Linked DNA regions of Bombyx mori. The protein of the gene in region 2 interacts with the protein of the main gene of each other region in a biochemical or structural test. Links are inferred from orthologs where the notes say so. Each region holds a gene or a part of one and is shown on either strand. Other genes may lie near its edges.

The links.
Region 1: of the proteins of serine/threonine-protein kinase greatwall (region 2) and cAMP-regulated phosphoprotein 19, one has a biochemical effect on the other in vitro, tested with the Drosophila melanogaster proteins (2 studies listed by BioGRID). The link is inferred for Bombyx mori from reciprocal best matches to the Drosophila melanogaster genes gwl and endos.

The regions. Positions count from the first base shown.
Region 1 is NC_085111.1:1,895,257-1,906,880, forward strand, and holds cAMP-regulated phosphoprotein 19, read right to left. Parts: upstream 8,401-11,624; 5' UTR 7,939-8,400; exon of another isoform or gene 7,819-7,938; intron 7,667-7,818; 5' UTR 7,659-7,666; coding exon 7,620-7,658; intron 5,562-7,619; coding exon 5,445-5,561; intron 5,348-5,444; coding exon 5,156-5,347; 3' UTR 3,771-5,155; downstream 1-3,770. Other genes in the region: tubulin gamma-1 chain, read left to right, coding at 230-350, 767-898, 1,719-1,901, 2,637-2,823, 3,557-3,573; structural maintenance of chromosomes protein 6, read left to right, coding at 8,589-8,802, 9,285-9,440, 10,709-10,950, 11,599-11,624.
Region 2 is NC_085111.1:9,216,163-9,229,394, forward strand, and holds the start of serine/threonine-protein kinase greatwall, read right to left. Parts: upstream 6,916-13,232; 5' UTR 6,685-6,915; coding exon 6,586-6,684; intron 6,505-6,585; coding exon 6,256-6,504; intron 6,064-6,255; coding exon 5,835-6,063; intron 5,520-5,834; coding exon 5,343-5,519; intron 5,149-5,342; coding exon 5,024-5,148; intron 4,579-5,023; coding exon 4,367-4,578; intron 3,541-4,366; coding exon 3,331-3,540; intron 2,852-3,330; coding exon 2,629-2,851; intron 2,430-2,628; coding exon 2,272-2,429; intron 1,874-2,271; coding exon 1,749-1,873; intron 1,166-1,748; coding exon 953-1,165; intron 45-952; coding exon 1-44. Other genes in the region: uncharacterized protein LOC134198921, read right to left, coding at 7,861-7,962, 11,610-11,849, 12,302-12,430.

The DNA.
Region 1 (11,624 bases), about 7.3 Mb from region 2:
TGTTTACATGTGTACTTGTAGTCTTGTAGACCAATGACTTGAGCCCCAGTCCATGTCTCAAGGTGGGTGGCGGCATTCACGATGTCTTTGGCTTCTGTAACTGTTTTGCATAACCTAGAGCTCGTTCTTCCATACAAGCAGTTAAAGAAGAATATTTTTAATTTGTTTTATAAAAAGAATGTTTATACTAGTTGATGAAGACGACATCAAAGTTTTGTTATTCCTGCAGGTATCCGTCATACATGAACAATGACCTGATCAGTCTGGTGGCGCCGTTGATTCCTACCCCTCGACTGCACTTCCTCATGACTGGGTACACGCCCCTCTCTGCCGATCACGAACAAACCGCAGTGAGTTTTGCCAATAGTAATTAGCATTTTTAAATCCAGTAGTAGTATAAAATTGGAAAAGACTTAGATGGAAAGTTTGAAAGAGGATATGCAAGAGAAGAGTGCGATTGCAAAGATGATGTATGATGGAAAAAGAAGACACGCAGCGCCGACCCCACGTGGTGGGATGAGGGCAAGGAAAACAAAGAAACGTTATTGGAACCCTGAATCAGTTGTACTATAAATTCTGAACATAAACATTTCAACTGAAGTTAATTCCTGATCAAAGTGGATCATCCTATCTGCCAGAAATCACGTAGAACAATGTCTTGCCGAATATTAATTTTAGGTGTCGAAACCAGAGAAAGAGACAACTGAATGTGTGTGTTAGGAAATTTACACCGGAACGCTCGTGAATTCTGGTTTGTTGCTTGCAGGCTCCGAAAATTCGCAAAACGACAGTACTAGACGTGATGCAGCGGCTGTTACAGCCCAAGAACATGATGGTGTCGCTCAGTCCGGACAGGGCCAACCAACACTGCTACATATCCATACTGAACATTATACAGGTGAGTCAAACTGACATCAGTTACTAGGGTATGTATAGTGTCAAATGTCGACGAATGACGTCTCAATCGTCCGCAACCACGAGCGGCTTCATTTCGCGTTTATTATTTTAATTATATGTGTGCTTAGTGCGAGTGTTTTAACGTTCTCGATACCGTAAAAGTTAACTCAAATTTGATAAACAGTTGAAACAGCGCCCCTAGCGGCAAACCTAGGGAAACATTCCAACTGCATACAAATTTGAGTTAACTTTTCTGTCTCAAGCCAGGCGACGACAGTAGTTATGTGATAAAATAATTCACACACAATAAAATAATAGAATAGAATCAGATGTCTAATAGCAGATTACACAATATTGTTGTGCCGTGAGTTTCTCTTTGAATCATACCTGGTATGCAGTCCCAGCAAATTGGTTTATATTGAGGCAACTGGAGGTGATCTTCGTGTTGATACTGTAGTGTGTAAACACTCAAGTATGTATACAGCCTTATTTAAAGTGCTTCTTCAGCACCACCGTCTTATGGCACAATAAACCGGACCTTCAAACTGAACGGACGTATTATTTACTCTCTTCTAATCCGTCGTGACCAGTGTGCTTAGTGCAAGTTTTTTAACGTTCTCGATAACGTAAAAGTTATCTCATATTTGTATGGAATGAGATCGTTTGCGTACGTTTGCCGCTAGGGGCGCTGTTCCAACTGCATACAAAATTGGGTTAACTTTTACGCTATCGAGAACGTTAAGAAACTCGCACTAAGCACACTGACCACACCACAATACATTATATAAGGTGTATAAAGGTCAGCACTGACGTGGTTGCAGGGCGAGGTGGAGCCGTCGCAGGTGCACAAGTCGCTGCAGCGCATCCGCGAGCGGCGCCTGGCCGCCTTCATCCCGTGGGGGCCGGCGTCCGTGCAGGTGGCGCTCTCGCGGCGCTCGCCCCACGTCACGGCCGCGCACAAGGTGTCGGGCCTGCTGCTCGCCAACCACACCAACATCTCCTCGGTCGGTGCACTTCCTCTACTATCGACCCACATTGCCCACATCTAGGATTCTAGTGGGATGTCATGTTCTGCAGTAGGGTAGATACCACCGCTCCGCCTATTTCTGCCGCTAAGCAGTAATGTGTTTCGGTTTGAAGGGCGAGACGGCCATTGTACTGTTAAAAGTGAGACCTTAAAACTCATCTCTAAAGGTGGGTGGCGGCATTTACGTTGCAGATGTCTATGGGCTCCGGTAACCACTTAACATCAAGTGTTAGATCCTGGTTGCTAATTTTGGTTTACCAAAGTTGGTAAACCGCGCTGTTTTCACTCGACGCTAATTGTAACATTTTAAATATTGTAACAATTTAATATTATCAACATTCTACCGACCGCAGGAGCACACAGTGAGCACATTTCGCGTTTCATGTTAAATAGTAATAAAGTAAAACTAGTTGTAGTTGTGATCTCAAATCCTCAGACTGCAGTTTCACGAACGCGCCTTCACATCTATACTAATATATAAATCTACAGTGGTTTTACGGATGTTCCGTTTTAACTACTGAACCGTGCATCCGATCGACTTGAAACATGGTATCAATGTAGAAAATACATGTACTTAATGGATAGACTAATATTTATATGAGTGTTGGACTCCCTAATAATAATGACAATAAATAATAATGTTAATTTTAAATGCCCAGCGAAGCGGACGAGTATGGCTAGTTCATATAGATAATTAAACGAGTGATTGCAGCTGTTCGATCGATGTCTGCAACAATTCGACAAGCTGCGCAAGCGCGAAGCGTTCCTGGAGGTGTTCCGCAAGGAGCCCATGTTCCGCGAGTCGCTGGACGAGCTGGACGCGTCGCGCGGCGTGGTGGACGAGCTGGTGCACGAGTACCGCGCCGCCGCCACGCCCGACTACGTGCACTGGAACCCAGGTCCGCGTCTCCACCGCACCACTCATAACCAGACGTGACAAAGGCAACGACTTGACTCTGCCCCTGGTATTGCTGAAGTCCATGAACGACGGTAACCACTCACCATCACGTAGGCCGTGTGCTCGTCTGCCTACAAGGGCAATAAAAAAAAAAGACTCAAATCTTGGTAATTCCAATGAGTAACAACAGTTTCGCAGCTTGATCGTTAAGGGACTCTTTAAGGGTCCGTAAGCTAGTTTCACTACCACCACAGATGCTCGGTTGATCTGATCCCAGTGGGGTCAATAAATAACATGCGTACAATGGAAGTAAAAGCTTGAAACTCCGTACTATATCTCCACCGCAATAAAGGACCTTCGTTACAACACGAACAGGCGGATTTTTCACTGATGTTTTGTGTTAATTCTGATCATACTATTCATTTTTGTAATATACCATGCTCCCTTTGCCCTTTTTTTTTCATTACAATGAAATATTATTCTTAGAAAAATATTTAAGTACCTAGTTCCGTAATTTTGAATTAGTTTTATTTTAACAATTATCGAATTATATAGAATATCGTTGAACAATGATTGATGTGCGCGACCTCTGACAGTGTTAAACTCGACTCGTATGTACACATGGTCTGCCTCGTGGCTACGCGTCTTACAGTAGAGGAGTGCATGACCGTACTGTGTGTACTATTACCTCGTTACACACATGAATGAGAAACCGTATATTTCTTTTTTTACAGAGAGCAGCCAAATATAACACATACAGGCGACGGAATGTTGGATTCATATCACGAAGCTCATCACCAGCAGAGTTTAAAGAAGAATGCCAAAGATGAGTCGTCAAATCTATAATTCTAAGACGTTGACAATTTAATTTATAACCAAGTGCCATTATGTAATCTCATTTATACCCTGGCCGCCGCTGCCGTGACGCCTTGTTCAAATAAAACGAGCTTTTTTTTTACCCAAGATCTGTTTTATTTTCAATAATCACTAATTATTCAACATCTTAATCTTTACACGATCACCTTCGTATTTCACATTATGTATTTCGCGCATTATGTATGCGATTCTCTGATGCAACTGACATTATGAGTATCTTAAATAACAAAGGAAAGACTCCAAGGTATATTTTAAATTTACAATTAACAGTATGCATCTCATCAGAGAGCAGTGAATCAATACATCTCATAAACCTTCATTATGGCATTTTTATATACATGGACTGAAAATAATTTTCAGTTATTTCACATGCTTTCACATTCCAATTTATGTACTAAATGTTTGATAAAATGACATGTTATAGCATAATGTTACAGTAAATCTTGTGATATAAGAAAAACAAATATAATATGTTCGTAGTGCATTCAGTGATGGCCAAGCTGCAAAAAAACTAATCGTAATGTTAATCATTATATATATTCAAATTTTGAATGATTTTAAAATATTAACATTACAAAGGACAGTTAGTTATTCAGAATATACATACAAAAATAGCTATCTAAGTAATAATCAGGCTAGTGCTATTGTAACATTAGCTGAACTTACACTACTAATTTGAAAGAAGTAATTATATCCTTAATGTAACGATCACACTCATACATATTAATAGATAACATAAGGACCAAAGCTGGAAAACTAATAATGTTCACTATAATAGCTGAGAACAGTTTTAATTTTGCAGAATGAAGCATATACACTTGTTATGTCACTAAATTCATTTTTCATGACAAGAACTAAGCCATAGTGGATATCCATACACACAGTGAGAGCCTAAAGTAAGAAACCCTGCTTCGGCTGACTTAATGGTGTTACTTTGATACTAATGCAATATCATGGTTAAATATTATTCATTGCTGTAGTGTTCAGGTATCATTGGCACTACCACTTAACTTCGTTTTTGAGAATGAGTGCTTATGATTCAAATGCTAAAATCATCAGATTATTTATAATCAATAACTAACTCATTCTCACAAACTATATTAACAGTACAGATTCTAATGGACACATTTCTAAAGAAAATAAATGAAATTTTAATTTAATTAAACTGATCCCAATCACAAATTTGAATTTTTATGCAACCAGTACCAAAGAACACATCACACTTTAAATAAAAGGACATTATTTAGGTCCTATTAAATGGTGGATAAAAGTATGATTACTTCAAGGTTTTCAATTATTTTAGAAATGTGTCTGTGTTTTATTCTTAATGAGATGATAAAATGAAAATAGACTACACTATACATTCCAGTATGTAAATAGTGAATAAATGTTTTTTATGATGTGTTCTTCAATATTAACTTTTTGCAATTGTAATGTGGATTCATAGTGATACAAGGCTAGGATGTCTGACTTGGTGTAGTGTATTTTGGCTGAATGATGGAAGTCTTCCTTAATGGTACGGTTTCAGGAGTAGGGATTGCATCACCAGTAGGCAACTTTGCTGGTGCAGCTGGAGCCTTAAATGGTGCAGCTAAGTTGCCTGGTCTCTGCTTTGCCATTTGATAGTCGCCAGAATCAAAGAATTTTTGCTGAAAATTGAACAAGCGTTTAGAAAAAATGAACTATAACTAAAAAGTAAACTAACAGTAAAAGTTTCTCAGTGTTAATAAATAGTTAAATACATACTCCCTTGGCTAGTCTTTTTTGCAGAAATGCAGAATGACCACTGGGCCCTCTACCCAGCATCGCATTAGGGAATTTCGCTTTTAATTTTGCCTCTTCCAGTTTTTCTAGTTCTTTTGGCTGAAATAAAAAAATATTGCAATAATTAAAATTTATTGACAAAAAATAAACAATTATGGTCAATTAATTTAACAGTAAAACAGTTCAATTACAAAACTACAATATAAAATATTTGTTCCTAAGAAGTTTGTTTAAGAATTTTTGCATAAGAAAGCTGAGAAAGGAAAAAAAAATTATGAAACATTTGACACACCTATTGCTACTATGAAGACTACAACTATGAAGTCGTCGTGGTCTAAATTAATAAAACGTTCGGTGCATTTGTATCTTTCGATGCATTGGTGTTCGAATCCCACTTGCGGGTACTAATTTTTCTAATGAAATACATACTTAGCAAATGTTCACGATTGACTTCCACGGTGAAGGAACAATAACATCGTGTAATAAAAATAAGGCCATGAAGCAGGCCGAATGCGGGCAACATTGGAGGAAGCTAGTGCAAAAACTGGACCAAGGTGGTCACGACCCTCAGTAATGTGGAAGCGACAAAGAAGAAGAAGAAGAATAAAAATCAAACCCGCAAAGTGATAATTTGAGTAGTTACTGGTGGTAGCCAGTTGTAGGTGTCTATGGGCTCCAGTAACCACTTAACATCAGGTGGGCTGTGAGCTCGTCCACCATTCTAAGCAACAACAAAAAAATGTGGACACAGTTATATCAGTAAACAATTATTTTTATTAATGCTTAGGTGGGTGAACAAGCTCACTGGCACCTGGCACTGGTGTCAAGTGATTCCATGATTTTGAGTATGTATTCAGAAAGTTACTACTGAAGAGGGTGTTGATTCTTTCCTAAATATGGCAGAGCATTTATGATGTATCGGATATCATATTTGATGCTGCTAACCAGAATCTGATCAAATTCAAATTTATCAGGTTTGATAAGCATGAATTATGTAAATAAAGTATATAGATACAGATTTATCATAATTTCTGATCCAATGACGATGAGGCAATAAATTCGTCTTTTCGCATTAAAAGTGTACAATTTCCAAAAATATTTGGAATTGAGTTAATATGCGGAATCATTTGGTATCACCAGTATTTTTCTCATAAATACTGTCAAAAGAGCGTAGTTTAGTTTTAGTTTTTTTTTTAGTTTACCTATATTTTGCCTACTTAATAGTCAATATATATCCAATACTAGTACCATTATAATTATCTTTATCTAAACATTATAATTATCTAAACATTTATTTTTTAGTTTTTACCAGTTACATTATCTGTCTTTTAAAGTATTAAAAGACAGATAATGTAACTGGTAAAAACTAAAAAATAAATGTTGCAAAGATGATTAATATTAAAAAATCATATGTTAAACCTTTAAAATGCTCTCCCGTAAAATTTAGTAAGCTTTGAGATTATACAGTTTTCATGCGAGAAAACGAATAATTGTGCTCCTGGTTAATTGTTTGGTTGTGTAGATATTAGATAAGGTGTTTAGTATTCTTTGGTTTTCACAAGTTGTATACATAACATTTTTTACTACCTAGGACCTCTTGTGAGTCCGCACAGGTAGGTACCACCGCCCCGCCTATTTCTGCCGTGAAGCAGTAATGCGTTTCGGTTTGAAGGGTGGGGCAGCCGTTGTGACTAAACTGAGATCTTAGAACTATATCTCAAGGTGTGTGGCGCATTTACGTTGTAGATGTCTATGGGCTCCAGTAACCACTTAACACCAGGTGGGCTGTGAGCTCGTCCACACATCTAAGAAATAAAAATAAAAAAAATATAATTACACTACTTTAATGGTTAATTGTTACAATCAATTGATACATTGTTATAGTATTTATTATCAATAAGAACCAATTTACACACATGGATTATTATTATTATTGATTTACTGTTTTGTTTGCAAGGTTATTTGTTCAGTGTAATAATATACAAACAAACAAGTATCTAAGGATAATTTTTTGATGAACTGTCTTTCTAGGTATAATTAATTTACAGTATTGCAAAGTATTTTTAAATCAGCTATCATTTTTTATTCAAAAATAGTTTATTACGCCTGGAAATTAGGTTTAGGTTTCAAGAACATTCTACGATTTTATCTACTTACATCTTTTGGTGGATCATTCTGGTCTGGTGAGTCACTCATGTTGCTTTCTAAAAATAAGTTTAATTAAAATATTAAGAATGTAGCTTATACATTTTAAAACATTGGTTTATTTTAACAACTTCTCTGATGATGTGACAAGATATCATACAAATAAATCTATAGATTTCAATATTTTACGACTAAGTCTAAATACATTTACACTCTAGACACTCTTTAGGCTTCCATGCGCTTGTGAACGATTATGGTAATCTTTTTAATAATTATTATTTCAAACAAATTAAAAAAAAACAGGTATGTAAAGGCACGTTTGAAGGCCTACCTTTATGTATTTATTGACAGGCCTATTAACTTCAAAAATTGCTACAAAACCACTTTTTATTCAAAGTTAGTAGAGAATAAAGGAATCCCGAATTAGTATCGGTATAGTACTATAGAATTCCTATGCTCAGATTTTCACGATTTTAGTTTGGATCGTCTCTTTTCCTGTTTCATTCTCTTCAACAAAATTTAACTGACAAAAATGGCGTTTATTGTTTTTTAGTTTTGATTTTTCTTAGGAGCAAATTTTCACAATTTTTGAGCAAAGGAATCTTTTGCTTGGGTTTGCTTGTTTATTCTATATTGGTAAAACATTGTTATTATTTTTCTTTGCTTGATTTTAAATTTGTTTTGCTAGAACGTAAATTTATGAAAGTAGAGTTTTTATGGATGAAAGTAAATTTGATAAGTAATAAAAGTGATCAACTTGCAAGATCATTAAATTAGTCAGTAGTAATCAGCTGTAACAGCATGTCGCCCTTTGTCATTGTCATAGATTAAACACTTGTCATTGTCATTTGTCATTTACTAAGTTTGACTCGGTTATAAAATATATGTTTCTCTCACTGCTCACTGCTCACTCATTGTTTTCTCGTTTAAAGTAATTAAATGGTAACCTACATAATCTAAGTTCATGATTTAATATTAACTATGGAAGTAGACACAAATGAAGAAAATGATGGTACCATTATTAGTATTCATATGCGTAACTGGTTTTGTCTCGAAAATTTGAAAATAAAGTTTAACAGAAACGTAAATTTTATCGTTGGTCGTAACGGATGTGGAAAAAGTGCTATTCTATCTGCATTAGTGATTGGCTTGGGCAGCAGAGCTGATATAACTTACAGAGGAAATAATGTGCAATGTGAGTATTTTATTGAAACGTTAACTAAGAACTTGAAAGTCTTCGCGCCATTTATGACAACATTGGTCATTTAAGACCGAATTAAAATTAACATGTTAAATATGTAACGCATAATGAAATTGCTTTAAATTTCTTTTACTTACAATTAAAACTTGATGTATCCAATGCTACAATTTCAAAGGCTTAAAAATGGAATTACAAGCCAAAATTTCAATTAGAGACCAACAATTACAACCAACATTTATATGTGCATTAGGTAGGTACTATGTTTTACAAGTAACCTATAATTTATATGATTGACAATACATCTTTAAAATTAGTAAATATGGTTTAAATTTGTGTAAATTAATCATAATTCAGAAATTCCAAATATTTCATAGTTTTATGTTCAGAATTGCCTGAGTTTTGAAAATAAATAATAAAAGCTTTAATCAAATCCACAACTAAGTAAAAACTTAAGAAAACATATTTCTCTATTTCAGCTTTAATCAGGCGTGGAGCAAATTCAGCAACCATTGAGATTCAACTGAGAAACAGTAGTTCTAGAGCATACAAACGTCACATTTATGGCGATCACATTACAATAATCAGAGAAATCAATGCAAGTGGTTCGCATTATAAAATTAAAGCTGCATCAGGTATGTACTTATAATATTTCTATAATCTATTAAAGTCAAAGTTAATTATTGTACTTAAATTTATCTTGCAGCATTATTTAAAACAGAATAGAAGTATTGTAAAAATCTGATTTGCAATGATATTTAGAAAACAAGCTTATATACAAGTTTCAACCACTCACTCCATGAAATATCTTCCCTTTTTTGTTTATTGCACAGATACCCATTTCATCATCATATCATCATCTCATAGCCTACTTTGTGTTAAGTGCTTACTGCACTCCATAGACAGACATAGATATTCTTATGTGAATTCCACCACTTCATCACTATGCAAAATGAAAAATGTAATTAATGTAAAGATGGGCATCTTTGTTTCCTGCATCTATTTTTTACTAAGTATCAACATGGTGAAAATATTTCTTGTTATGTAGGTAGAGTGTCTTTTTCTAAAGTCCAATCTCATTACTATCAATTATCTGTCGCACTAAATGTCACACACCGGGTTGATTTTGCTCTGATGAATCTCTCTCAAGGGTAGGATAGAGTTAATAGTCATGCCCTAAAGGATAAGACAATCAATGCACTCATATAAATCAATCTCACTGTTTGTCAAATCCCATAGTCAAGTTCCAAATTTTGTAATAAAATTGGACTTATTTGCATTAGCAGGCTAACATGATAAAGAAAAAATATTATAATAACACCTGCAAAAATATAATTTAATTAGTTACTGGTGGTACGGCATCTTGTTATCTTACATAGGTAGGTAATTCATAAAAGATACAAATGGTACAAATAATCAAAGTGTAGAAAATATAAATTAAAAGAGATATACATATTTGTTACAAAACTTGATACTGATCCTTATCATATAATGATACTGATACTGACTGATACTTATCATACAATCAAAAAGTAAATATTTTAAATTTAACAGTCAAACAAACTTACTCTTGTGCCATGACTACTGGAAATATCCATACGTGCAGAACTCTAATAGAATAAAGAAGCCAACTTTGCCAACTTAAACTATGCCTATAATTTAATCTATCTGTTTGCAGTTTTTTGTATACATTAGGAATCAGATATTGATATATTTAAATATTTGTATACATAATTATGGATATTAAACAAATCTGGTCCCCATAAGAATGTAAATGTTTCTAAATTGGGAATCTAATCTATGAAACTTGGCCCAGCAATCAGGCCCATTAACCCTTAACATTCTAACTTCATAAAAATTCACTTTTCACATACTTGATCCCATTTTTATAAATATTTTACAGGTGAAATAATATCAACTAGGTTAAAAGAAGTTGAAGCAATAAAACATGCTCTTGGAATACAAGTTGATAATCCCATTTCGGTGCTTAATCAAGATGATGCTAGGAGTTTCCTTGGTAAAGGACCTGAGAAGATGTATGCCCTGTTCCGGAAAGCCACAAATTTGGACCAGGCAGAAGATAAATATAAAGAAACATTGAAAACATGTGATGAGGCAATTGAACATTTAAAAATGAAAGAGCAAGTAAGTAAGTTTGAAAATATTTTAATTCTAGATGTTAGTCCTAAATTCTTGCTTGGTACTTTTTTTTTTTTTTAGTAGCAGCTCCCACCAGTCTTGCTAAGACTAGGCTCGGACAAAGTCATGTATGATTTTCATGTACTTTTATGGTGGTATAGCACCATCTTTCAATTGTGATGTCCACTTCCAGGAAGAGTGAGAGAGAGTTTGATTAGTAGACTTGACTTAAAAAAATTTGAAAAACTAACAGATTGAGTTTGATAAAAACAAATTGTCTATTGCACTGATTTTACGATAAGACTTAAAAACAAAAACTGCTCATTATGTATAAATATTCTACATTATTATGTAAATGCTAACTTTGACTTGTCTCAATAATTCACTGCTAGAATTTAGCGGGAACCCAGATTAACTCGTTGATTAGCAATTCACACGATTTTTTGCTACAATAACCTCAAGTACAGGGATATTCTCTAGATTTTAAAAACGAATGTTAAATAACAAAAAATATTTTTGGAGTATTTATGACTACTTTTCTTTTTGTAAATCATTAGGAAGTGGCCAGTACATTGCTCAACTGATCATTAAAATGATTACTAGCGATTTTGAACGTAGTTGCTCAAACCAATTCTATTTTGTAATTTTTGTCAGGCTTCGAAAGAGTTGGAAAAAGAATA
Region 2 (13,232 bases):
TATGTCGAAATTTGATACTTGGAGTTGTTGTAAAATATTGCGGGCTGAAACAAAAAGTTATTAGTTAAATGATGATAATTTACAATTGAATGTAAATTAGAATTTTTAAATAGAAATAAATATAGGAATTTCGTCAAAAATAAGTAACGTAAATTCTTTTCAGATTCGTGTGGGTAGTTGTCGAAATAAGAAAAATAATGCACATTGAGTAGCATGACGTTAGTTCTATTTATGTGCAGACATGCGAAAGAGATGTTTCTGCTGTGCACCTACTTTGTGCAATATTTTTTTAAAATAACTATTATTACGACATTTCTCAATTTCTTTATAGTTGTTTTTACAAAAATATTCTTTAAGCTGTGGCGGTAGTCATCACAGAACACAAGATATTTGACAGATGCCTGAATCTCGCTTACGACATTTTCAAGATAAGCTTGCATATATACAAGTTCCGAACGACAACATGTGGGACCGGTCATCGTTCTCGTCGAACCCGTCGCTTGCGACGAAGGTCTCGACGAGAAAATTATCCCACAGACACAGCCCACTGAGTTTCTCGCCGGATCTTCTCAGTGGGTCGCGTTTCCGATCCGGTGGTAGATTCTGTGAAGCACGAGTCTTGCTAGGGTTCGTGTTAGCAACGTCGTCAGGTTTGTGCCCCGTGAGCTCACCTACTAGTTAAGGTTACGCTGAAATAGCCTCTCAAGGCTATCAGCATAGGTAGAAATAAAAAAAAAAACATTTGGATCGTCGGTCTACCGAGCAAAATATCACACGCTTGGTGTAAAATCTTCCCGCCGTCGTGTATCCCTATATGGGTGACCTGCGACGGAACAACTGCAGTCTTCACACTACATCATCAGCGCATCAAGAACTTCGGCTACCACAATTCCCGCATTCAGATTCCCCCATAATACAATTGTTTAAGGAGCTAACGTTGTCTGTAGTGTACCTTGGAAGTATCCTGTGTCATGTAAATCGTCGGGCGTGGGAACGAATGGCGGTTCCGTGTTGAGTTGGTTCTCCCAGTCAACGTTTCTGAACAAGGGCATGGCCCGCACGTCGGCGGCGGCCGGGCGCTCCGCCGGCTCCATCGTCAGTAGAGCCTCGATAGAACTCACAGCTTCGGGCGATAACGCTTCGTCACCTTCTGGCCATTCGATATCTGGAATACAAAATACAAAGTACGCTTATATGACAATAAAAAATTTGGATTTCATTTATTGTGTGCCTATACTGGGTATTAGGAGATCGTTTCCGAAGACAGAGTACTACTAAAGACACCTTTGATGATGGGAAGGAAAAAAAATCGATGCTGATTTAAAAAAAAAAACATATTTTTAAACGCATTGTTTACGCTCCGTCAAGTTAGTCGGCTAAATGAAATGATAGTTTCATAAAAAATACATTAATTATTATTAATACTTTTTATTAAAACCAGCAATGAAACACAAAATCAAAAACAGCTGATGCTCGGATCAACGAACGCCCGGGCGCGCTTTTCTTTTACACGCACACCGGCGCGGCGCTGATACCACACTCCCCAAAATTTATAGCTTTGTAGGCAAAATTTTCCTTTTCAGAAACGGTCTCCAAACACCCAGTACTTATAATCAGTATCATGTTATCATATTGTGAACCGAAAAATTGTCTTTAATAGATCATTCGATTCGAGTTTACAAACATAATAATTAAAAGACACCATTTTTTTTAGTATTTTGTCACATCATAAGTATTGTTATACTCACTTCTAGACAGTATGTTTTTGAAGACAGCTTGCGGTGTTTCGTCGTTGAAAGGTGGTACACCCGTCATGAACTCGTATAGGCAGACTCCTAAAGCCCACCAATCGACTTGCGGCCCGTGGCCTTGCCTGATGTCGTAACAATTATAATTAATGTTTTATTAGATCACTAGGCACTGATTATATTATACTACTGTACTGCCTATGTTTAATGGAAAATAGTAATTCGTTCTATTATCAAGTGGAATTGCCTACATGATTAAGAATTCGATCATTCATATATCATATCAGTATCCATAATTAATACTTATAACGAACCTTTAATATTCGATGAACCTGCAATGCAAAGAATACAGAGACTTGTCTTTTTGCATTTATAGACAACAAATAAAACATGGTGTAGAAAGTCGGTTTTTTAATAGGAGGTTCTCAATTTAGTTTGTATTTCAACATATAGTATGTATTAACTTTAACTCTAATTGAGGTTCTTTCTGAACTTAAAATCGATGTCAATTAAAAAATCTTACTTCAATAGTAATTCAGGTGCTAAATAATCAGGCGTTCCCAGAATTCTTTGGTCTGATATAAGATTGCCTCTTCTAACACTCTTGGGGGTCCTGTACGGCGTGTGCGCAGCTGCTAATGGAGTCTTGCACATTTCTGTAGGCGATTTACATCCTTCCCCCTGAAAGATTTTACACTATACTGAATAACTATACTGAGTAACCACTTAACACCAAGTGGGCTGTGAGCTCGTCCACACATCAAAACAATAAAAAAAGAGATTTATCAACTCACTAATAATTTATATTTCATTTTTTTTGATTGAAAATATGTAATACATAATCTTGTATATTTGTATGGTATATATAGTACCTACGTACTTTACTTAATCTCCGCACAGGAAACATCTCCAAACTATTCGAAATATGTTTTCCAAAGACGACACACTTTTTTGTATCTAGAGAATCAACTAGATCATCCTTTGGTAGGTTGAAACGGGTCTCCTTCGTCCTTTTCTTCGTCGCTTCAGATTTATTATTTGAAACTGGTGTTGAGAATATTACTCCCACGTTAAAGTGATGACTGTCGTTTTGTGAAGCCCATCTATGAAGAAATATAAAGCATTTTAATTTAAAATATTTATTTTTCCTACAGCGAGCAATAATAATTCTCATGGACATCAGTAACGTCAGGGGCACAGCCAAGCAACTGACTGTTGTCGATTTGATGGATGCATTTATTTCAGACGAAAATTATTACACTCATATTGTCTGACAATTCTGAACTTAATTATAAAAAATATTATTTTTTGTTTCGAAGGATAGTTGTTGGCCTGAAAGCCCTTCCGACTTTGCCAAGACCTCTTGTCTTGGAGATTGGAAGGTTTGCTATGAGAACTACTACATGCTTGTCTGTTTGTCACAACAACAACACTAACCAACACAACACTAACAGACCACGACTAACATGTGAGACCACGGTTTATGTTCGGACACAACGCATGAATGCCAAAAAATTATTTAATTTTAATAAGGGGGGACATTTTTTCACCTAAAATCAAAATATAACAAATAAAAAAATACCTTTTTTTCAAGACACCTTTCAGAGGATTCTTCCTTCTGTCAGGTGTTGGATGTAGGGACATTCGTTTCGGCGTGTTTTGAGTCAATTCTAAAGCCATTATCTCTTGTGTGAGCCCGCTGTGATTCTCTTTCGATTCAGCAAGACTAGTCACACCGGTCGGAGTGTCCCCGTCACAGTCTAGTATTCGCTTGCGTTTCTTTGCTCTGAAACTGTTAAAGGAAAGATAAGTTCTGCCCTGGCACTTATTTAAGTAGCCGACGATCGTTTCTTCTGCCTGTTCATTAGTGACCACTGATCCGCGGGATCGATGCATTTATTATACATAATACATTTTCACATGCAGAAATAAGGCAATGTTAAGATTTTTACTGGTGGTAGGGCCTCTTGTCCTCACAGGTAGGTACCACCACCCCGCCTATTTCTGCCGTGAAGCAGTAATGCGTTTCAGTTTAATGGGTGGGGCCGCCGTTGTAACTATACTTGAGACCTTAGAACTTATATCTCAAGGTGAGTGGCGCATTTACCTTGTAGATATCTATGGGCTCCAGTAACCACTTAACACCAGGTGGGCTGAGCTCGTCCAGCCATCTATGCAAAAAAAAAGCATTGTTCAAAATAAAACGCGATTCTTAGATCTAGGCCAATATTAGTAGAAATTTCAAAGAGTATGCAGTGTTCTGTCTGCTGTATCGGACTCCAGCAATTTTAGATTTATAGCCACTATGAATACATATTATACATTGCATTAAATACAATGCAACATTTGACAACCAGATGATGATCATGATCTGTGGTTTCAAGGGAACTCATTTATTTAATGGATTTCATTGTTCGCTCAAATTGGGGAAAAGCTTATTATTGTTGTAGCTTTGGAACCGGTGTTTTTGCATCATCTTAAATTTATGTAAATTCTTCATTAAATAATTGTTTCCGTTAGTAAACACATAAAAAACCACACAATATAAAAGAATAACGTCTCCACAAATTTATATATATATCTCTATTCTAAATTTAAAATAACCTGTATTGAATTACCTTGGTATTCGTTTCAATGAATGTCCTCTGCAGAGAGGTGAAGTAGATTGATTATGCTGAGTGTGCTGAGAATCCGATAGTACCGATTCACCAATTGACGACTCAGTGTTGTTGCTGATATCAGTGGATTTACTGTGCTTTGAATTGCTGCTGTTTTTAGAGCTCTCGCATGTATGATATGAACTAAGAGATCCTGATCTCGAATCCTGAAGCTTTAGAATTATATCATTTTACTTTGTTACATTATTGTTAAAAAATGATTTACTGGTTCAACTTCAATAAATTAACTTATCACTTTATATTTTTAAGTATATTATTCAATAATATATCATATTAACTGCTGACGAAATTGTAGGCCAGATTTAAGAAGATGTTTTTTTATCCTAATTATCAGTTAAATACTGACTAAGATTGAATTCTTTTTCAATTAATTTACATTCTTAATAATGCATTAATATTTACTATTACTTCCAAACCGCATTTCACATGTGCATGTCCTTTATATTATGCTGATTTTTGAGAACCTATACTTTTACTTTTTACTTTTAGCATTAAATTTATTATTACACTTTAACAATCTATTAAATGGTTTGTTAAGTAGTGACGGATATCAAACTTTTATATTTACACTGTCTATTATAAAGAAAAAATTCTTACAGCATTCTCATCCAAACTAATACTTTCTGCACTCATGAAAGGATGAATTCCTGATAATTGTGACTGGTCCAAAGCAGATGAACTTCCAGATGCACATTTACCATCAAACAAATTCTTTAATTTACCTTTAAAAAACATAATCAGTAAATATTTTATAAAATATCCATTGCATTAGATTTCATTTCAACTAACATTTGAAATTACTATGAATAAATCGATCCAAGACAATATATTTCACTTTACAAAAAAAATGAAATATGTGTAAGTGATTTAATTTTTTTTTCTTTTTTTCAGTTCTTTAATTAAGAACAAATCATACAGGTTTCTTTAAGTTCATCAAGAAGGTTCTCACAGGCATCACTTGAGATAACAGAGTTGTGTGTGCTTTCTCCCCCGCCAGAGCCAAATGACAAGTGTGAAGTTAAAGATAGAAGCTGGCCAGGTGTCCTCATGTTTAAACTTGGTGTTCTATTTACGAAATCAGATATTTCTAAATCTAAAAGAAAACAAATATAACTGAAAACATATGCATCTCATAGAAAAGTGTTTTTTTTTTTTATCAATAATCTTTACAATATTCGAATTATCGATGATTTATTTATTCTGTTCATAATGCTACACATTTTAATTTTAATAAATTGCCGAAAAGGAATATTCCTTGATGTTGACAAATTGCATTTTAATCATTTTCCCCACATAAATTGTGTGAATGACGTTAATCAGATGTGAAACCCCAAACTAATTACTCTTATTACTATAATTTCATTTACAAATAAACTAAACAACAATAATAAACCCAAATTCGAATTACCTCTATGTATCTCAATTTTTGATAAACCAAAATCAGTGAGTTTAACGTGACCACTTTTTGATACCAACATATTATCAGGTTTCAGATCTCTGTGTACAATGTGATGTTTGTGTAAATAATCTAAAGCTAGTGTTATTTCAGCTATATAAAAGACAGCCATAGCTTCTTCCAGAAAACCATAGACTCCTAAAAGAGACTTTAAATCACCTCCAACCATATATTCCATTACCTGAAAAATAAATCACTAGGGTCAGCTTAAGAGCGTCCTCGCTTTTAAAGATTAGTATTTACATAGCCTGACAAAGGAAAACATTGGAAAGATCAATTATGCATAACTTTTGATAGACATTGTTTTTGTTTTCATTACAATAGTATACTTATTCAGTATTATAAAATCTAGTAGTAATCAATCAAAACTTACCAAATACACAGATGATATTGACTGAAGTGAGTAAAATAAATGAACACAAAAAGGACTCCTAGATAGAGCCAAAGCATTTCTTTCAGTCACAACTTGTGCTACCATATTCTTATTTATCATTTCAGATTTTTTCATTACTTTGATGGCATACATTTGGTCTTTGTTATTCTTTTTATGTGCTAGGAAAACTTTACCAAACGCACCTCGGCTTATCGGCTTCACAATTGTAAAATCATTAATATCCGGTGGCTAAAACAAAAAGGAACTTGAAGTCGAATAAAAGAACCTTAGTTATCAGTTTGTACTTACATGTTTTTTAATATCTTTTACCTTAGTTGCGACATTCTCGTCTAATGTATTTATTTTGTCCAAAATTGTATGGCATTTTGTTTTTTCGTTAAACATATCACATGGGTTGACCAAAGCCATTTTCAAACCTGAACTCTAAACCTCTAATAATTATTAAATGTTCTTCTTTCTCAGGCACATCGCTAGACCGACAAGTTAAAGCTGGCCATCATAACATTTATATGAGATCAATTGTAAGCTAAACTTAAATTTAATTTTTAATTCAAATAATAAATCGAACTATTATTAATTTATTTACTAACTCCAGAATCAAAACTTTCAAAATTTTACTCTTCTAACGAGACATTTGTTTGTTTTGTCCAGGTAGGTGGGCAAAAGAAAAAAGGTCATACTGCCAAATCCTTTCTTTCAAATCAAAGTTTAGAGAAATTATTAAAACTCGGGAAGTCATGTCTAGTAATATTCGATTCGCACTTGGCACTTTCACAAACACCAAATGAATTTATAAGTCATGACTGCGTCTTATTATGCGTAAACCTACTAAGAAAAAGTAAAAAAAAAGTGTAAATGAAGACTGGTCTGATAAAATTGTAACAGATAGGGAAAGAGCTGGATAGGGAGATAGCAGGTGCTGGTCCAACACGGAAAGGCTTTTGGCGCTGGTTTCACAGAATCCGCAAGACTTGTGTTACACCGAATTAGCAAGGATAATTTGAATGAAATTTGAACCCAAACCTCGAATGTTGATGGAAGCTGGAATCGCTAGCATGGTCTCCAGAATGAAAAAAATAATGCAGGGCATATTAAAACCGTGCTTAAAGCTGAAAACGAACTCATTCGCAAATTTCTTGGTGTAGTTTAAGTTTTATTGTGAAATATTTCGTAACCTACCTCGAATACAACAAACTCAGTGTAATATGGGTTAATTATTAAGGCAACAGCAGCTACAGCATATGATGTCATGGTGTGAAGGGTCGGTACATACTGCATGCAATTTGTAGCAAACAAATAAAATATTGTAAATAGCTTATATTAACTGTACGCTACTGATCAGCTCTCGGAAATATTATCAATCGGATAAACAATAAAAACTCACCAAATTATTCAAAATACGTATTTCTTTTTCACACAGTTACGTAGATATTGAATAGTTAAAAAAAAGTTAACATTTATTTACATTGATCAAATATTAAATTGTAACTTTATACAATAAATTTCAAAACATATATGCTCATGAAATATTTTTGTCGGTAATGATTTCACTAAAATATTAAACTAGACTAGGCAATACTGGAATTAATCTTCAGCTCTTGAGTATGCAACACAATTACTAAAAGCCTGAACAGCTTCCGAACACTTTAAAGGTTGATGTGGATTTTCTGTGTAGCATTGAATCATCTGTAATATATTGAAAAATAACGTAAAATATACCTTTTAAGATATCTACAGTAACTTACTTGGACGACTGGAGTATCGTGCTGGGTGCTGGATCAAAACAACAGAAAGTAATTACGTAATATTATAGTACAGTACGTAATATTATAGTAATTATTATATTACGTAATATGAAATACTTAATAGTATTAAAAATTGCCGTGCAAACAACTAAATTAGGCTGCCTGTCCACTGGAGCGGAGCGAGGCAGTGGAGCGGAGAAACAGAGAAATATTAACCAATAATATTGCACAAAATCTCCGCTCCTCTTTAGTGGACAGTCTCCTCTCTAGTTGCGAATTAAGTAGTTTAAAATTTCATACAAAACCGGCAAGCGGAGCGGGATAGCGGAGCGAGACAGCGGAGCGAGACAGCGGAGCGAGACAGCGGAGAGGGGAAGCTAGGGCGGGCGCGGGCGCCAGGCGCGCCTGCAGTGTGCACTGACTCGTCGCGTAGGTACTAAACTCCGCTCCCCATTACTTTCTCACTCCGCTCCGGTGGACAGGCAGCCTTAAGCTAAGCTTAACTTCATTACATGTAAAACCGCTTGGGCCCAAAATAAAATATGAGATTACTATAGACATCAATACCCAATGATTAGTCATAAATTACATCATGCGTTATGATTAGTTTCAAATTAATTCAACTTTAAAAGTAATGCCATGTTTGTTTTAGTTTAATTAATGTCCTTTAAAGATCTTTAAATTGAATACAGTACAATTGAACAGAGTACAAAAATTAAATCCATTTCCACCTCGATTAGGCATGAAGTCTGAATTGCCTATGTACACCAAGGCATTTTTCGCGCTTTTTAGGTTGGGGAAAAAGTCTTTTCGCATTATAGTATGTATGAACTTGTAATAAAATCTCTTTGGCTATACTATTTGTATCTGGCTGGTTTTGGTATCATTAAAAGTTTAAATTTTAAAGAAGATAATTCCAAATACAAATTTGGAAAATGTATGATTTTCATTTATTTTTCGTACTGTCAAGATGAGTGAATCTAATGAAAAAATTCGATACATTCTAAAATTTTACTACAAAAAAGGTAAAAATGCAAAGCAAGCCGCGAAACAAATTTGCGATCTTTATGGACCTAGTGCAGTATCTGTGAGAGTAGCATAAATTTTACTGGTGGTAGGACCTCTTGTGAGTCCGCACGGGTAGGTACCACCGCCCCGCCTATTTCTGCCGTGAAGCAGTAATGCGTTTCGGTTTGAAGGGTGGGGCAGCCGTTGTAACTATACTGAGACCTTAGAACTTATATCTCAAGGTGGGTGGCGCATTTACGTTGTAGATTTCTATGGGCTCCAGTAACCACTTAATATCAGGTGGGTTGTGAGCTCGTCCACCCATCTAAGCAATAAAAAAAATAAAAAAAATCGGTTTAAACGTTTTCAATCCGGAAATTTTGATGTCAAAGATGCACGTCGCTTTGGTCGCCCTATTACGGACAAAATGGATGCCATTTTTGAAAAAGTGGTGCAAGATATGCATATCAGTTGTTACGACGTAGCTGAAGAACTGGGAATTGACCACAAAACAGTTTTGGCGCATTTGAAAAAAACTGCGTACACAAAAAAGCTCGATATTTGGGTACCTCACGAGCTCACTGAAAGAAACCTAATGAACCGTGTACTCATTTGTGATTATTTATTACGACGTAATGAAACCGAACCATTTTTGAAGAAGCTGATAACTGGTGATGAAAAGTGGATCACGTACGACAAGAACGTGCGAAAAAGGTCGTGGTTAAAGGCCGGTCAGGCTTCACAAACTGTGGCGAAACCCGGGCTAACTCGCAACAAGGTGATGCTGTGTGTGTGGTGGGATTGGAAGGGCATTATTCATTATGAGCTGTTACCACTAGGCAGACAAAAAGGGTGTGGTTTTTTATCATGATAACGCTAGACCTCACATATCTTTAGCCACTCAGCAAAAATTAAGAAAGCTTGGCTGGGAGGTGTTAATGCATCCGCTGTATAGTCCTAACCTTGTACCTTCATATTTCCACCTGTTTCGGTCTCTTCAGAATTCTTTAGGCAGTGTCAGGTTAACACCACGAGAAGATTGCCAAAACCAATTGTCGTGGTATTTTGATCAGAAGCCCCAAAATTTCTATAGCAATGGGATCATGTCTCTACCTACAAGATGCCAAAAAGCTATCGAACAAAATGGTACCTACATACTTTAGTTAAATGTAAATAAACTAAATTAAAAAATGTTGTGAATTATTTTTAAAAATGCGAAGAAACATTTTCCCCAACCTATTATTAGGGTCTATATGTAGTCATTAGACAAAAAAAACGTAGGTGGGTAGGTTGAGGTATGTATCAATATTTCCTACCTTTGAAACCGGAAATCTTGAAATTTTTTCAACATCAATCCATAATCAAGTTTTCCTAACTTCAACACTAATAATCATTTCATCATGCAGTGGAAATAAAAATCGTGTAATGGACTTAACTCAATAATAATTACATGTATCTAAAGTTGCTTATCAATAGAAATGTTACTGACCCCGGGAGGGATCGTACATACATACATAGAATGAGAGAGTGCAAGGGAAGTCGTTTGGTGGGTAGGGCCCAAAAAATATCCTTAACTAAATTCTATGCATAATATGTGTACATACCTATGCTTTACAGTGGATTTTTTATTTCTGCAAAAAGCTTTGTTTTAGTAACTATTTATGCAAATTAGTATTCGTCAACCCGCAATCTAAATTAAGGCAGCACACAATGGTCTCGTGAGGTGCGTATTGCTATAATTAACCCGTTTTATATCGGAATGGTTCCCTTAAAACCCTTAAGTTACAAATATTTTCGAGGTAATAGGTAAGTAACAAATTCAAAGTATTTATATAATTACGATAATGTAGGTGCAAGATTATTTAATTTAAATAAATACAGTCAAACCTGGGTAAGTGAGAACTGGATAAGTGAGAAAACTCTATAAGTGAGAGTAATAGCCAGGAACCGTCATTTTAAGCTCCCAAAACCTCTATTAGCGAGAAACAGAAACCTCTGTAAGAGAGAGTCGTTTTTCCCTCATAGACTTCCGTAAGTGAGACTGCTACTTATCTATACCTCTATAAGCGACAGTCGAGCTTTATATATTTATATTAGTTAGGAGGAACAAGTGACAAAACTAATTACAAATTTAACATCTGCTATTTTATGACTCATTCTTAACTTTTGTAGAACTTCCTTCCATTGTTTTTGTATTGTTTTCTCGTCAATATTGAACCTATTCTATTTTGTGAAACTAAATAACGTTGTTATTTTATCGCATTTTTTTCGAATGGACACGTGCGCCTGTGTACCGTCCAGTTTGTCGGACTTACTCAGTTTATCGTTAATCAATTGCGAAGTAAAGTTCTGTTCTGCATCATGTCATAACGGAAAATTAAAGTACTGTCATTAAGTGATAAACTTAAAGTAGAGAATGCGTTTGAATCCGGAAAATCGCGAAATTAAATTCAGAGGGAGCATTAGCGAGAAACTCGGGTTAGTGAGAAACCTCTTTAAGCGAGAATGGGATTGTGCTCCCTTGAACTCTCGCTTATCCAGGTTTGACTGTAGTTCTTTTTAATCGGTTTGAAGTCATACCTTTGTCCTCATTTGGAAGCATGGATTCAGTTTCAATAATTTTTCGTGAGTAACTTTAGGTGGTTCGCAAATACTGTTAATAGAATTAATTTTTTTTTCATACTCGGTTTCAATTATTTGATTGATTAGCTGATGCTCTTTTTTGAGGTTCTCCACTCTCCAAGACCAATAATCTCCATCTCCTTGTTGTTTGTTCCCGGGGATGTGTTTGTCTTTAAATTCTAATTCATTTTCGGTTTCCTGAAAATTAATTACTGGTGTAGATTTATAACGCTAATGAGCTCACAGTCAACTTGGGGTTATCAGAGCTCATATATTACTCCACAAATGTTGAAACCCAGCTAGACTTCGACATCTCAATGACATTTATAAACGACCTTCAAAATAAAACATAGTAGGCATTACTTCTCTATTGAAATGTATGGGATACTGGAACATTTTCTTGCAGGTTCACAACATCCTACCACCATTCTTGTTGGTTTTAAATAAACTGTTATTCTAATAATGTTACCGAAGACATCATCGTCATTATCATCAGCATCATTTCCGAAGACACGATATTATAATTTTTGTAGTTTTAAAGTTGATTAAATCAAGCATTTATTATTATTTATTTTGTTCGAAAGCATCAATCAAGTATAATAACTTTTAAGTGGGTACTATAAATAATAATAAAAAAGTGTTTTTATTACCGTGGCTAAGTTTTCGAAAACGATAGGGGTTTCGCCTTTAATAGTTGTTTGTAATGCTAAAGCCGAATTTATCGCAAACGTATTATCAAAACTTATACGCCTAGTGTGATTACTCGTTACTATCCCCATTATATACCAAATTATTTTTAAAACATCTTAAATTTCAATTAGGTTTTACCAAAAAATCAAACACATAAACAGACACTAATGATTGACGTCAATAGATAGTGGATTTTAGTAGTTAGATATATCTTTAAATATGACCTTCTTTGACTCGAGTAGGTGTTATTCTTCTTTTTCGCACTTTTTGCCATTAGACGGATTTCTTCAGCAGTAGCCATCTCAACTTATAAGTGAACACAGATATAAGGAATAAGGTGCTATAAAGCTCATTTAAACTTTAAATAATTTACGGCTAACTTTACCCCCGGCACTCGTTTTAATCTAATGTTTTAAATCTGGTACATATAGGATTTTATGGTGTATAATTTCACATAGGCTATTATGAGATGAGTATGTTTGAAAGTTCTTAGCTCTTCGTAGATTGATTAGAATAGATCTTGGATGTCTAATGTCAATTAAATTAGCGTACTCTGTGGATTTTTGTGTAGGTGAAATAGGTAGTACATAAATATTATTAAGCAATTTAATATTTTAAAGAAACCAAAATCATGCGCAACACTAGATAAAAGTTGAGGTTTTAAATAGAAATATAGAAAACTAGTAAAAATAACATTGTGAAGGAAACAAATCATTAGTTTTAACCAGCAAAGTGGTCTCATCATTCTCGACATTTATGTGGTTACTTGGCTTTGGTGCTTGTATGGAACACATAATTGACTTTAATTCGTTAATGTTAATGATAACGCATTTTGTGAAACGCAGCAATCCAGTCATCAAAGATGTCTCTTTATGACGACTTAGATACGAT